3 linked regions of the Alligator mississippiensis genome follow. The protein of the gene in region 1 purifies or fractionates together with the protein of each later gene. This does not show direct contact. Links are inferred from orthologs where the notes say so. Each region holds a gene or a part of one and is shown in the gene's direction. Other genes may lie near its edges.

Region 1 (3,740 bases):
GTCGGTTGTGCACGCTTTCACCCCGGAGTGGGACGGTGCCCTGCCCTGGGGCAGCGCTCCGCTCCGCTCCCCACCCCACCCCACCCCCCATACCTGGTGCTGGGGCTCGGCCCGCAGGTGCGCGACGCCGCCGGTCTCGGCCTGCAGCTCATAGGTGAGCGCCAGCACCTGCAGGTCGGCGGGGGACAGCGACGGGAAGTCGCCCGTCTTCTTCGAGAACTCCGTCACTGCGGGGAGGGGGGCGGGGTCAGGGCCACCCCAGGCGTCTGGGCCAGGGGGCGGGGCCAGAGCCGGGAGAGGGGCGGGGCCAGGGGGCACCCCAGGCGTCTGGGTTAGGGGCGGGGTCAGAGCCGGGAGAGGGGCGGGGTCAGGGGCACCCCAGGCGTCTGGCCCAGGGGGCGGGGTCAGGGGCACCCCCAGGTGTCTGCGTCAGAGCCGGGGGGTCGGGGGCCAGCACTCACCCAGGCGCACGTGCTCGGGCCGCGGCTGGCGGAAGAGGAGCGGGACGGGCAGGGCCGCCAGACGCCGCCGCGCCGCGCGGTCGCGGATCTCGCCCACCACCTCGCGCACCGTGTACACGCGGCGGCCGATGTCCTGCGGGGAGGCGCCGTCAGCCCCGCCCCGCCCTGCCCCGCCCCGCGCCGACCCCCCCCCCCCCCCCCCGCAGTCCCGGCCCAGCCCGGCCCGGCCCGGCCCGGCCCGGAGCTACCTGCAGCGGCGCTGCCCGCAGGAAGGCGCCCGCGTCCACCACCACGTGCTCCACCGCCGCCATCTTGACCACGCCCCGCGGCATGCCGGGAGTCGTAGTCCGGCGGGCGGCTGAGGGGGGCTGCCGCGCGGGGCACGCCGGGATCGCTATCGCTCCTCCCCCCTCCCCGCCTCCCGTTGGGTCAGGTGACCTGCCGGCGTCACATGACCGCCGCGCGCCGAGCCGGAAGTGCCGCGCCGCCGTCGCCGGTAACCGCGGAGCGGGGGGAGGGGGTGGCCGTTGGCGGTTGCCCGGGGAACGGCTCGAGCCCAGCGCGCGTTTCCCTGCCCCCGCCCCTCCCCTCCTCTCAGGCGGGCGGGGCCGCGCGGGGCGCCCCGAAGCTGGTGCGAGTCGGGCCCGGGCCCGGGCCGGGGCGGGGATGCGCTGCGGCCGTGGACACGGCGCCGGGCCTCCTTGCCTTCCCGGCCCCGCGGAGCTGCGGCCCGGAGGTGGGTGGCTGGGGCGGGGGGACCCCCTGCCGCCCCTCCCTCGCCGGCGGGCTCAGGGGCGGTCGGCGTTCGCGACAGGGAAGGCGGCTCCGCGCCGGCACAGCGGTCATTCCGGCCCTTCTCCGCTGCCAGGGTGTTTAGCGCGTGCCCCGTCCTGCCCCTCCCCCTCCCCCTCCGCAGCTCCCGGCGCCGGTCGGGCAAGCGCCAGCCCGACTTGGGTTTGCGAGCGCCGTCCCGCGCGCCCGGCTCCTGGCCGTCGCTACGCCTGCAGCCGAAGGGGCCGCCGGCCAGCGCGGCTTCCTGCGTGGGACGAGGGGCAAAGTCTGGCAGCCGAAGGCACCTGGCTCCTGATCTCGCTCCGCCCTCCCCAACGGTCGCACCTGGCCAGGCAGGGCAGCAGCGCAAAAGCTGCGTGTGAGCTGGGTCGCGATCTGCGCCCGGCCCCGCTCTGGGAAACGGGGCGCGCGAGGATAAACACGTGTGTCCGCGCGGAGGAGAGGTGACCAAGGCGTGGAGAGGCAGGACGTGATCCCGATGGGCACTGCGCTGCGGCACGGGCCCTTCCTTTCCTCCGCGTGCCACGGTTGTGCCGCGGGAGGTGCAGCCAGCGTCGCCGCCCAGCTGCCTCTGGCCCCCGAGCACGCGGGCAGCTCCTTTTCTCCAGCCAGACGGCTGCGCTGGGGCAGCGGGGCCGTGAGATCGGCTGCTGGGTCTGTGCGTTGTCCCGGGGCCCCGGTCCTTTGCGGTGCCGTCCCCGTGAGGCCCGCTGTGTGTTGCTCGCACGTGCTCAGCCTCTTGCCGGGGGCTCCTTCGTGACGCCGAGTGGGCAGGCCCGTGGGGGTCGGCCGTGGCCAGGCAGCAGCGCTGCAGCCGCTGGGCTGCTCCCGGCCTGCGGTTCAGTGCTGACTTCTGGCTGCGCCTCTGGCATCGCCAGGGTCTGCCGGCCATCTGGGAGCGACCGGTCCCAGCCCCGCCGGGGTGGTCTCATCAAACGCAGCCTTGGGCTCCCCTGGCTCCTTGTGAACCTTCGCTCATGTGTCGTGCCTGTCTTTGCTTTCCAGACCCGTGGTAATGACATGGCCTCCGCCAGCTGCAGCAGGGCCGGGGCAGGGCTGCCCTGTGAGAAATCCCAGCTCTTGCTGAAAGGTGAGTGCAGGGCAGGGCCTGGGGGAAGGAGGAGCCCTGTCCAGGCTGGAACACCTTGCTTTCCAGCCAAGGGGTAGGATGTTCCTCAGCCCTGCACTCCCTCCCGGTGCCTGGGAGGAGGTGCGATGGGGAGAAGGCTGGCTTAGCCGCGGGTGCCAGCTGCGCTCGGGGATTGCACAGCTAAGTCCTGAGAGGCACAAAGCCTTCCAGAGTCAGATTTAGCAGCTGCCTCTTGTCAGTGCCCTGATCCCAGCACCAGAGTGGGGGACGATCCCTAGCCAGGGTGGGCTTGGCCACAGGGAAGTTGGGGCCCCCGGGCTGGCCCTGGGCAGTGGCTGAGCTGTAGAAGGTGCCTCATGGGCAGGCTTGGGCAGGAGACCTAGGAAGAGCCTTTGTGCTGAGCTGGAGCTGGGGCTCTGCTCGCTCCTCGCTCCACTTGGCAAGTAGGAGGTGGAGCCGGCGCTCGCTCCCGGAGGGCCGCCAGGGGGCTCCCGACACCTCCGGCTGCTCCCCCGGCTTCTGGCCTGCCCCTGCTCTCGTCGCCCTTCTTGCACCCCATGGGCTGTAGCATGACACTGCCCCACTACCGCAGAGGAGACGCCTCCTTTCTGGGCTCCCCGACACCTCACTCTTCCCCCTGGGCTGGTGGCTGGAACCCAGGTTCCTGCAACAGGGCTGGCTTCTCGCTTTGGCCACTGCTGAGAGGCACCTGGGCCTCCTTGGGCTGGGCCCAGCTGATGCGTTGTCCTGTAAGAGGCCCAGCAGTGCTATAAGCTCAGGGCACAAAGGGGAGCCTCGTGCAGGAGCGGGGTAAGCCTGTGGAAAGGCAGCTCCGAAGGCCTGGTTTTCCTGTGCCTGGCCGTGTGGCCTGGCTGGGGAGATTGTGCTGAGAGGGACAGACCCGGACACCCTGCGCTGGGCTCCTCCTCCGCTGATGGTGCCTGTTGCACGTGGGGCTGAGGAGTGGGCTGGCGACAGACGGTGACCGCACCTCTCCTGTCGGCCTAGTGGTGTCCATGAAGCCGAAGGTGTACAGCCGCCAGTCCCGAATCAACAGCTACGTGGAAGTGACGGTGGATGGACTTTCCAGTGAGACCAAGAGGACGGGGAAGCGGACTGGGAGCTCCGAGCTGCTCTGGAACGAGACCTTCACCCTGTAAGAGCCCCTGCTGCCTCCTGGGGCTGTAGGAAGGGGTGTGGGGCAAGGGCAGGCACCTGGGGGAAAGCGTTAGAAATCTCAGTTCCCAGGGGAGGGGGTTGTGCTGGGCAGGAAGGTTTGGGGCTAGCAGGAGGGGCTCTGGCTGCCTGGTGTCCCTGTGACAGCCCTGATTTCTGGCTGTTGTGCCTGGCCTGTCTGAGGCTTCCCTGCTGGCCACAGCACTGCTCAGTACCAGCGT
Region 2 (3,740 bases), on another chromosome or scaffold:
ACTTCCCTTTCCTGCTCAAAGTTTCCAATGTAGCTGGCTTTCCTTTCGTTCCAAGTCCTTTTTAACCTCCCCCCTCATCTCTGTGTCCTATTTGATGAATCTCCCTTTCCCAAATCTTCTTCCTACAAACAGGTAAAAAATGTAGGTTCTCCTCCCTGTTCCAGCAAAGCTCATTAGCATTCCCACTGTTCAGTTAAAATACTGTCATTAAGTTCCCTGGTCTGCTAGGGACACAAGAGGCCTTGTTAGGAAAGGTGACTGCACAAAGACATTTCCTGATTCAGTGACTGTCATACTAGCAATTTGATACTATCAATCCAAATTCATAAACTGTAGATAAGATTCCCCAAATCATCACGGCAGGGATAAAGGAGCCTTTTGTTTGCTGCCCCATGCTGTTGTTTGCAGTTGCAGCAGTGCCTGAATTTCAATTCCTTTATGATGCGCACAATGTGTAAATCTGTTTGCCAAGCGTTTGGAGGGGAGAAGTATGGCAATAATAAGCCCCCGTCACTACACAGTCATGTTGGTTGTCAAGCTGATTTCAAGATGCAACGATTTGCTGACTTTCTTCCACAGTCGTCTGCTGCCAGGCACCTGGGTTTGTAGCTTGCCTGTGAAATACTTGTCTTTCTGATGTATTTATCTCTGTCAGGGCCAAGCATCAGGAGTGCAGAAGCTGTGCTAACCGTTGAACCATGGGAAGACCTGCAGGATTTGCTACTCCTTTTTTGAGGCGGATCTTCGCAGGGAAGCCTCGGAAGACACCGGCTGCCTGGCACAGCACAGCTGGGCCCCTCTCGAGCCCTGGGACGTCCAGCTCCCTCCTGCAAGGCGCTGGTTGTCCGGCCTCTGGGGCTGTCAACCTGCTCTCTGCTCTGCGCTCCAGTGAGAGCTGCACAGGAACCGGCCACGCAGCTGTTGCTCATTTTCAAGCACTGACTGTCTCTCTGTAGCTGCACGGCCGGCTCGACGCGGCCACCAGCACTTGGCCCAGAGCGCTGGGCCGCCTTTCCCGCGACGCGTACCGTGCGGCCACGCCCCGAGGGCGGCCAGCGGCCCGGCGGCGCCCCCTGGCGGGAGCCGAGGCCCCAACAGGGCGGGGAGGGCTGCGCTTCCGCGGCGCCTGCGCGGCCGGGCCGGGCCGGGCCGGGCGATGGCGGCCGGAGGCAGCGACGCGCGGGCGGCCGACGTGGAGGAGGACGCGTCGCAGCTCGTCTTCCCCAAAGGTGCGCGGCCGCCACCCCCCGCGGGAAGGAGCCGGGAGCAAGAAGGGACGGCGGGCTCTTTCCCGCCGCGACCTGCTCTGCTCTGGCCCCTCCCTCCTCGCGCACGTGGGGCCGCGGACAGGCCCCCCGAGGTGCCCGGGCTGTGAGCGAGGGTGGCCTCGCCGGGCTCCCCGGGGCTCGCCGCACCTGGCCGCGGGGGAGCAGTGGCCATTCATACACCCGCCCTCCCCCTGACAGCTCAGGACAAGCGTCGGGGCTTCTTAACCTGGCAGGGGAAATACCATGTATGTGTGGCAACGCAGGCAGTTGTCCTGACCCGCTGCGCAGGAGAGCTGCTCTTCTGGCGTGGTTCAGGGCCCGCCAAGGTGCAGCGGGTTTAAGCCCACTTTATGGGCATGGGAGTCTCCTCCGGCACTTGCTCCGAGGGCCTGACGGCTGAGGGCAAGCAAAACTCAGGGGCATCTGAACCCCAAACCTCTAGGCTTGGGCCTGCAAGTAGGATGCCTGCCAAAGGTTTTGGAAACATCTGAAGCCCCAGGTGAGGGTGCAGGATGTTTGCCGATAGTAGGGCCACTTATGATTCTGGACTCTTGGATTGGGATTTAGTTTTGGCTAATTTGGCCTCCGATATAAATGTATTAAAACCGCCTTCCCTGCTCCCTGCCCATTGCCATATCTGCATGCTCCTCCCCAGCACACAGCCAGATGGGGCTGGGCCGGGCCAGGCCAGCCTGCTTTGTTTCCCTCTGGCAGGGCCCCCTCCCCTGTGGGACTGGGTTAGATCTGCTCCCGTGGGGTGGGGGGAGCTGAAGCAGGGCCAGGAGGCCCCCAACACAAATACAAAAGCAAGGATATAGACATGGGCTTCATTATCAGTGCTGATCCCTCTCTCATGCTGAGATTTTTTGCTCTTTCACCTAGAGTTTGAAACTGCCGAGACTCTTCTCAATTCAGAAGTACACATGCTGCTTGAGCATCGCAAGCAGCAGAATGAGAGTGCAGAGGATGAGCAGGAGCTCTCAGAAGTCTTCATGAAAACGTTGAACTACACGGCTCGTTTCAGCCGCTTCAAAAACCGAGAGACTATTGCCAGTGTCCGCAGGTGAGTAGGAGAGACCAGGAAAGATTTGTGTCAGGGAATTTATTATGTATGGTATTGGTACTGCGCAGTTAAAATGCCTTAGCTATGTTGCCAGAAGAGGGGTGCACTTAGATCTCAGCCAGGCTCTATGTTCTTTCTTGAGTGGGTTATGATAGATGCCTTCAAAATAAACATTTATGAGTGACATCAGATCAGTCTTTTTGGAGCCTGGGATGATTAGTAGTAGTGGTAGTTGAAGTGGGGTTGTACTTATGCAAATGCACTCTTTTTTTTTAATTTGCCCCTCCTTCTTCCCTCCTTTTTTACTGCTTCCACTGGTACATTTTCCTTTCCTGTACTTTTTTATTCTGTTGTAGCTATATTCTTACCATCTTATTTTCCCTATCTGCAGTTTATTGCTCCAGAAGAAGCTCCATAAATTTGAATTGGCGTGCTTAGCTAATCTTTGTCCTGAGACAGCTGAGGAGGCCAAGGCTCTGATTCCCAGGTGAGAATTTGTATTTAGCAGGGCTGCTGTGTGAACTGTGGGGCTCTAAGATACAGGAAGAAAGGACAAGCTGGGGTCACCTGTGGGTTTTTCCTTTGCACTGAAAACTTCACAGACACACTAGGCTGGCCTATGAGTGCAGGTCCATATAGGACTTCAGTCAGATGTCTTGTGGGTGAAGGCCATTACAAAATTACTATCTTGAAAGAGGTCAAAGGAGGGATGGTGTCTGGTTTGCATGACAGCCACAATATGAGGCTCAGAACAGTGTCTGCATTACACTGTTGGAGGAGTTGCTAGTTGGTACAAAACAATATGTTAAGAGGAATTCTGGGTCTTTGAAAACAAATGTGTCTAAAGCCATTAATTTACTGTCATTGCTCTTATCTTGCAGCCTAGAGGGCCGGTTTGAGGATGAGGAGTTACAGCAGATTCTTGATGATATTCAGACCAAACGAAGCTTCCAATATTAGGGTTAACACCCAGCCCCTCTTATGAACAGAGAAAAACTCAAGTGCTTTTTGCACTCCAGACCAAATCAGCTGCTCCCAGACCTGAGCTAAGGAAGTGCCAGGAGCAGAGTACTCCAGCCTGGTGTCCACCACAGATGCATTCAAATGGGAGGCCAGTTAGTCCATAAAAGAGACTCTTTTATGGTGAGAGCCATTGGATCCTAGAAAGTCTTGTCTGAGTGGTGTCAGTGCTTTGCTTTTCCTAACAGCCTGTCCCTGACTTGTGAATCTTTACAGTGTTTTTGGTTTCTAGAATAAGTGCAGCTGTACAATTTTTTCCTTGTGTACACCTGTTCCCCAAGATGGAGAAATTATTCCTACTGGTTGTTGGCAATCATAATGATGCATGGAATCAGGACTGATGAGACTTCGTGTGGTGGTTTTTATGTATATGTTTGATCAAGATAGTG
Region 3 (3,740 bases), on another chromosome or scaffold:
CGAAGCAGCAAGAGCAGCTCCCTGACGTGGCAGAAGACGCTGGCGCGAGGGCCCGCTCTCCTGAGCAACGTCAGTGGCACCCGGTCCAATCTGGGGGGGTTTTTTGAGGGCCTAATTGTGACTGTCTTGTACAGAATCTGGCCAATACCTATTGGCCTGCGAGTCACAAGTCGGATCCACCGGATCCTTCTAGCCTTAATTTCCAGTGACCACAGACACAAGATGGAGAACGGCCTAGGGCAGGGACGCTCCAGCTGCAGCCCAGCCCAGCCCGGGGAGATCCCCACGGGCCTGGAAACCTGACAGCAGGGAGCGGCGACAACGCCGACGGCTGCCCCCCTTCCAGACCAGGGGCACCCCCACGGGTCTCAGCGCGGCCCTGTGCACGAGCAGGATCCGGGCGTGCGGGCTGGGCCGGGCCGCGTGCCGGATCACGCCCGTAGACCGGCTCCGCGGGGCTGGATCACACCCGCGCACCAGCCCCAGGCAGCCCTCGAGACCAGCGGCTCGGTCTAGGGCAGGCCTCCAGCTGCAGCCCGCGGAGCCGCGGCACCTGGCTCCCGGGGCTCCCGCGGGCGGGCGGGGGGCTGGGCCGGGGGCGCAGCGACAATTAACACGGACACCGCCCCGCTGACAAACGCCCAGCCCCCGGCAGCGGATCCACGGCCCCTGCCTCCCCTTGCCCCTGGACCGGGCCAGGCCGCGCCCCCTCCCCCACGCGAGGCCAGGTGTGGGCTGTGCCAAGCGCCCTCCCCCACGGCCACACAGGGCCCCGGCCCGGGACCCCTGGCCAGACCCGGCCGCGCCCAGCAGCTCGGCGCGATCGCAGACTTTATTCATAACAATCCTCTCCGTGGAGGCACGGCGCGGCCGCAGGGCCCGCGGGACGGGGCGGCGAGGAGCCGGGAGACAGACACCTCGAGCATCCCGCTCACTTCAGGAAGGACGAGCAGCCCCCCCGGGGGGAGGGGGCACCCCGCGGAGGGGGAGGGGGGCACCCCGCTGAGGAGCCCCACGGCGGGGAGGCCACCCCGAGGATGGGGGGAGGAGCTCCCCCCAGGGGGGATGGGGGCCCCGCTGAAGATCCCGGGAGGCTCCGCCCCCGCCCCCGCCCGGGGCCGCCGCGGGGGGGGCCGGGGGGGACTCAGGGACTCACCGAGCGTCGCCTCTTCATGGCGCCCGCGTCCGCGCCGCCACGTCATCACCCCGCGACGGGCACAAAAAAAAAAAAGGCGCGCAAGAGGCCCGGCGCGCGGCCGACACGTCATCGCGCGGTACCCCTTGGCACCACAGAGACGAGGGGGTGGTGCCAGACAAGCCGCTTCCGGCAGGAGCATAGAGATCGGCCCGCAGCTACCTAAAGCGCCCGTCAATGATTGGCTCCCGGGGACTGTGACGCAAATACACAGCGCCAGCACTGGGCGGGCCCAGGAGACTTCCTGTCTTTTCTCAGCGGGCAGCTCGGCTCCCCGGAAGCGCTCTGTTACCCGGAAGCGGAAGTGGTTGGCAAGATGGCGGCGGCAGCAGCAGTGGGGGAAGTGGCGGCAGGTGGCCCGGAGCCCCCGGTGTGCGTGCTGGTGCTGGGCATGGCCGGCTCCGGCAAGACCACGCTCGTGCAGGTGGGGGCCGCACCCGCCCGGCTGGCTGGGAGGGGCAGGTCCGGGGGGGACCTGGCTGGGGCGGGACGGGAAGGGGCGGGGGGTGCTTGTTGTCCGTCTGCCTCATCCCCCGTCTCGTGCCATCTCGCCCCAGCGGCTCGTCGCGCACCTGCACGGCCAAGGCGCGCCCCCCTACGTCATCAACCTGGACCCCGCCGTGCACGAGCTGCCCTTCCCCGCCAACATCGGTGAGTCGCGCGGGGGGGCTGGGGGAGCTGCGTGCGGTGTCGGCAGAAACGGGCGTCTCCATAGAGCACGGAGCGATGGGCCATCCCAGCCGCGGCTCGCAGCCTCCCCCCGCACGGCGGCGCTTCCCGTGTCGAGGGAGCCGTGGTAGCGGAGCGAGCCAGGACGCCCAGGTGCGCGTCTGGGTGCACCTCCCCGGTTGAGGGGGACTCGGGAATCGTGTGCTCTTTGCTACGATTTGAAACTGGGGTATGAGGCTCTCGTTGCCTGATAATCCCCAAATCTTCTTGTTCTGTCAGCGGGGGACAGGCGGCCGTGAGGCAGCGCACTGGGTCGTTTCCTCTAGCGTCGGGAAGGGTTGGGTGCCAGCGCGATGCTGTTACGGAAACGACTGCGCTTCTGAGCCTTGTGTTCGCCCCCTCTTCGGCTTTCACCCGTTCCCTGCCTCAGGGTGGAGATGAGACATGCACACGCGGGGGCGGGGGCTACAGCCACTTCAGCAGGTCGGTTTTGGGCTCAGACCCTCTCCATGGCCACCTGTCAGCACACAGATCCCCGAGATTAAAGTGTCGCATATTTCACTAGCTTAGGGAAAAAAAGCATTTTGGAGAAATCAAAGCTTGGAAATCATAGAAGACCCTACACGTACCTCGCTGTTCCTCAGGCGTACTCTCGTGGAGCTGGAGAGGCCCGGTGCTTTTAGGTGTCTCCCCAGAGCTGAGCCTCTATCAGCCTGTCTTCCTTGGCAGTAAGGGTGGGAGCAGGGTAGCAAACAAACGTGTAATGCTGGGTGAGGGGTAGGAGGAAAGGATTTTGCAGCAAAATGAACAGGCAAAAGTAATGGAAGATAGTTATTGTTTGACAGGGCTCCAGAGTGCTGGCCCCTGCGAGGCAAATAACTGCCTTTTTTTACCATATTTAGCCTTAACCATCCTAAAAGCCAAGAGTAGATTAGCAGGCATGGGAATTTGGAAGTCTGTTCTGCGCAGTGGGGTGGGTTTTACAAGTGTACTGGGACAGCTAACATAGGTGAACTGACATAGTCTGCCGTGAGACTCCTGTCACTGCTGCTAGGTCCCTGCACCGAGCCAGGGAGGGGGTAATTGAATCCCTCCTCTTTCTTTTGTAATAAGAACGTATTCGGTTAGTAGAGTGGTCACGTGCATCACTTTCTTTTCCTAGATATCAGAGATACAGTAAAATATAAAGAAGTCATGAAGCAGTATCCTTTTTTTGGTCTAAGGCTGCATGCTGAGCTGCTCTCCTGGGCGGACTTGAGGCCTGTGGGTTGGGGTTGATCAAAGGATTTCAGCTGGGAGCAGGTTTGAAGAAAGAGAGAGAGACCTTTGCTTTGGCTGGTTGTGTTTTTCTTGGAGAAGGTACAGACAAACGTACGTGTGTAGTAGGAGCTGCCACCCAGGAGCCTTCTGTAACTGTTACCTAAGCACAATTCTCTACCCCATAAATGAGCTAAGTTGTCATAAGCAGGGATCGTGGTTTTCTCTATTTAAAAATGGCAAATTCTCTTATTAACCCCCCCCCCCCCATGGGCTTTTTCTGCAATTAAAATGAAATGCCACTATATATAGAGGTATCAGCTGAACACAATGGTTTATTGAGAGATTTACAATTTTAAAGCAATTTGGAAGCCTACCAGTGCCTCCAATCATCATTAATAAAATACATTCTAAATACCTACATATTTTGGCATTTGATTTTGTGTTTTTTGTCATTTAAAATCAGAATTCTTCCTGCCCCCTTTGCTCGCTAGGGCACTGCACTGCCCCCCCCCCCCCCCCCCCAACACTTTGTGGTGCTGAGCAGCTCTGCTATGCCAGTGCCCCTCACTAAACCCACAGCCCCCTGGTCCTGCTGATGCCCCTGTGTCCCCACCCC

What was found.
Region 2: the proteins of WWP2 (region 1) and POLR2D purify together in Homo sapiens (affinity purification with mass spectrometry; 3 studies listed by BioGRID and IntAct, with this or other methods). This does not show direct contact. The link is inferred for Alligator mississippiensis from reciprocal best matches to the Homo sapiens genes WWP2 and POLR2D.
Region 3: the proteins of WWP2 (region 1) and GPN1 purify together in Homo sapiens (affinity purification with mass spectrometry; 3 studies listed by BioGRID and IntAct, with this or other methods). This does not show direct contact. The link is inferred for Alligator mississippiensis from reciprocal best matches to the Homo sapiens genes WWP2 and GPN1.

The regions. Positions count from the first base shown.
Region 1 is NC_081833.1:76,451,319-76,455,058, forward strand, and holds the start of WWP2 (NEDD4-like E3 ubiquitin-protein ligase WWP2), read left to right. Parts: upstream 1-861; 5' UTR 862-912; coding exon 913-957; intron 958-1,107; exon of another isoform or gene 1,108-1,197; intron 1,198-2,258; coding exon 2,259-2,343; intron 2,344-3,351; coding exon 3,352-3,499; intron 3,500-3,740. Other genes in the region: RNA-binding protein NOB1, read right to left, coding at 94-227, 462-594, 710-793. UniProt on the Homo sapiens protein: E3 ubiquitin-protein ligase which accepts ubiquitin from an E2 ubiquitin-conjugating enzyme in the form of a thioester and then directly transfers the ubiquitin to targeted substrates.
Region 2 is NC_081830.1:39,463,135-39,466,874, reverse strand, and holds the start of POLR2D (DNA-directed RNA polymerase II subunit RPB4), read left to right. Parts: upstream 1-1,119; 5' UTR 1,120-1,156; coding exon 1,157-1,229; intron 1,230-2,150; coding exon 2,151-2,331; intron 2,332-2,722; coding exon 2,723-2,818; intron 2,819-3,212; coding exon 3,213-3,291; 3' UTR 3,292-3,740. UniProt on the Homo sapiens protein: Core component of RNA polymerase II (Pol II), a DNA-dependent RNA polymerase which synthesizes mRNA precursors and many functional non-coding RNAs using the four ribonucleoside triphosphates as substrates.
Region 3 is NC_081824.1:457,311-461,050, forward strand, and holds the start of GPN1 (GPN-loop GTPase 1), read left to right. Parts: upstream 1-1,468; 5' UTR 1,469-1,511; coding exon 1,512-1,619; intron 1,620-1,752; coding exon 1,753-1,846; intron 1,847-3,026; coding exon 3,027-3,066; intron 3,067-3,740. Other genes in the region: ZNF512 (zinc finger protein 512), read right to left, coding at 1,157-1,174. UniProt on the Homo sapiens protein: Small GTPase required for proper nuclear import of RNA polymerase II (RNAPII). May act at an RNAP assembly step prior to nuclear import.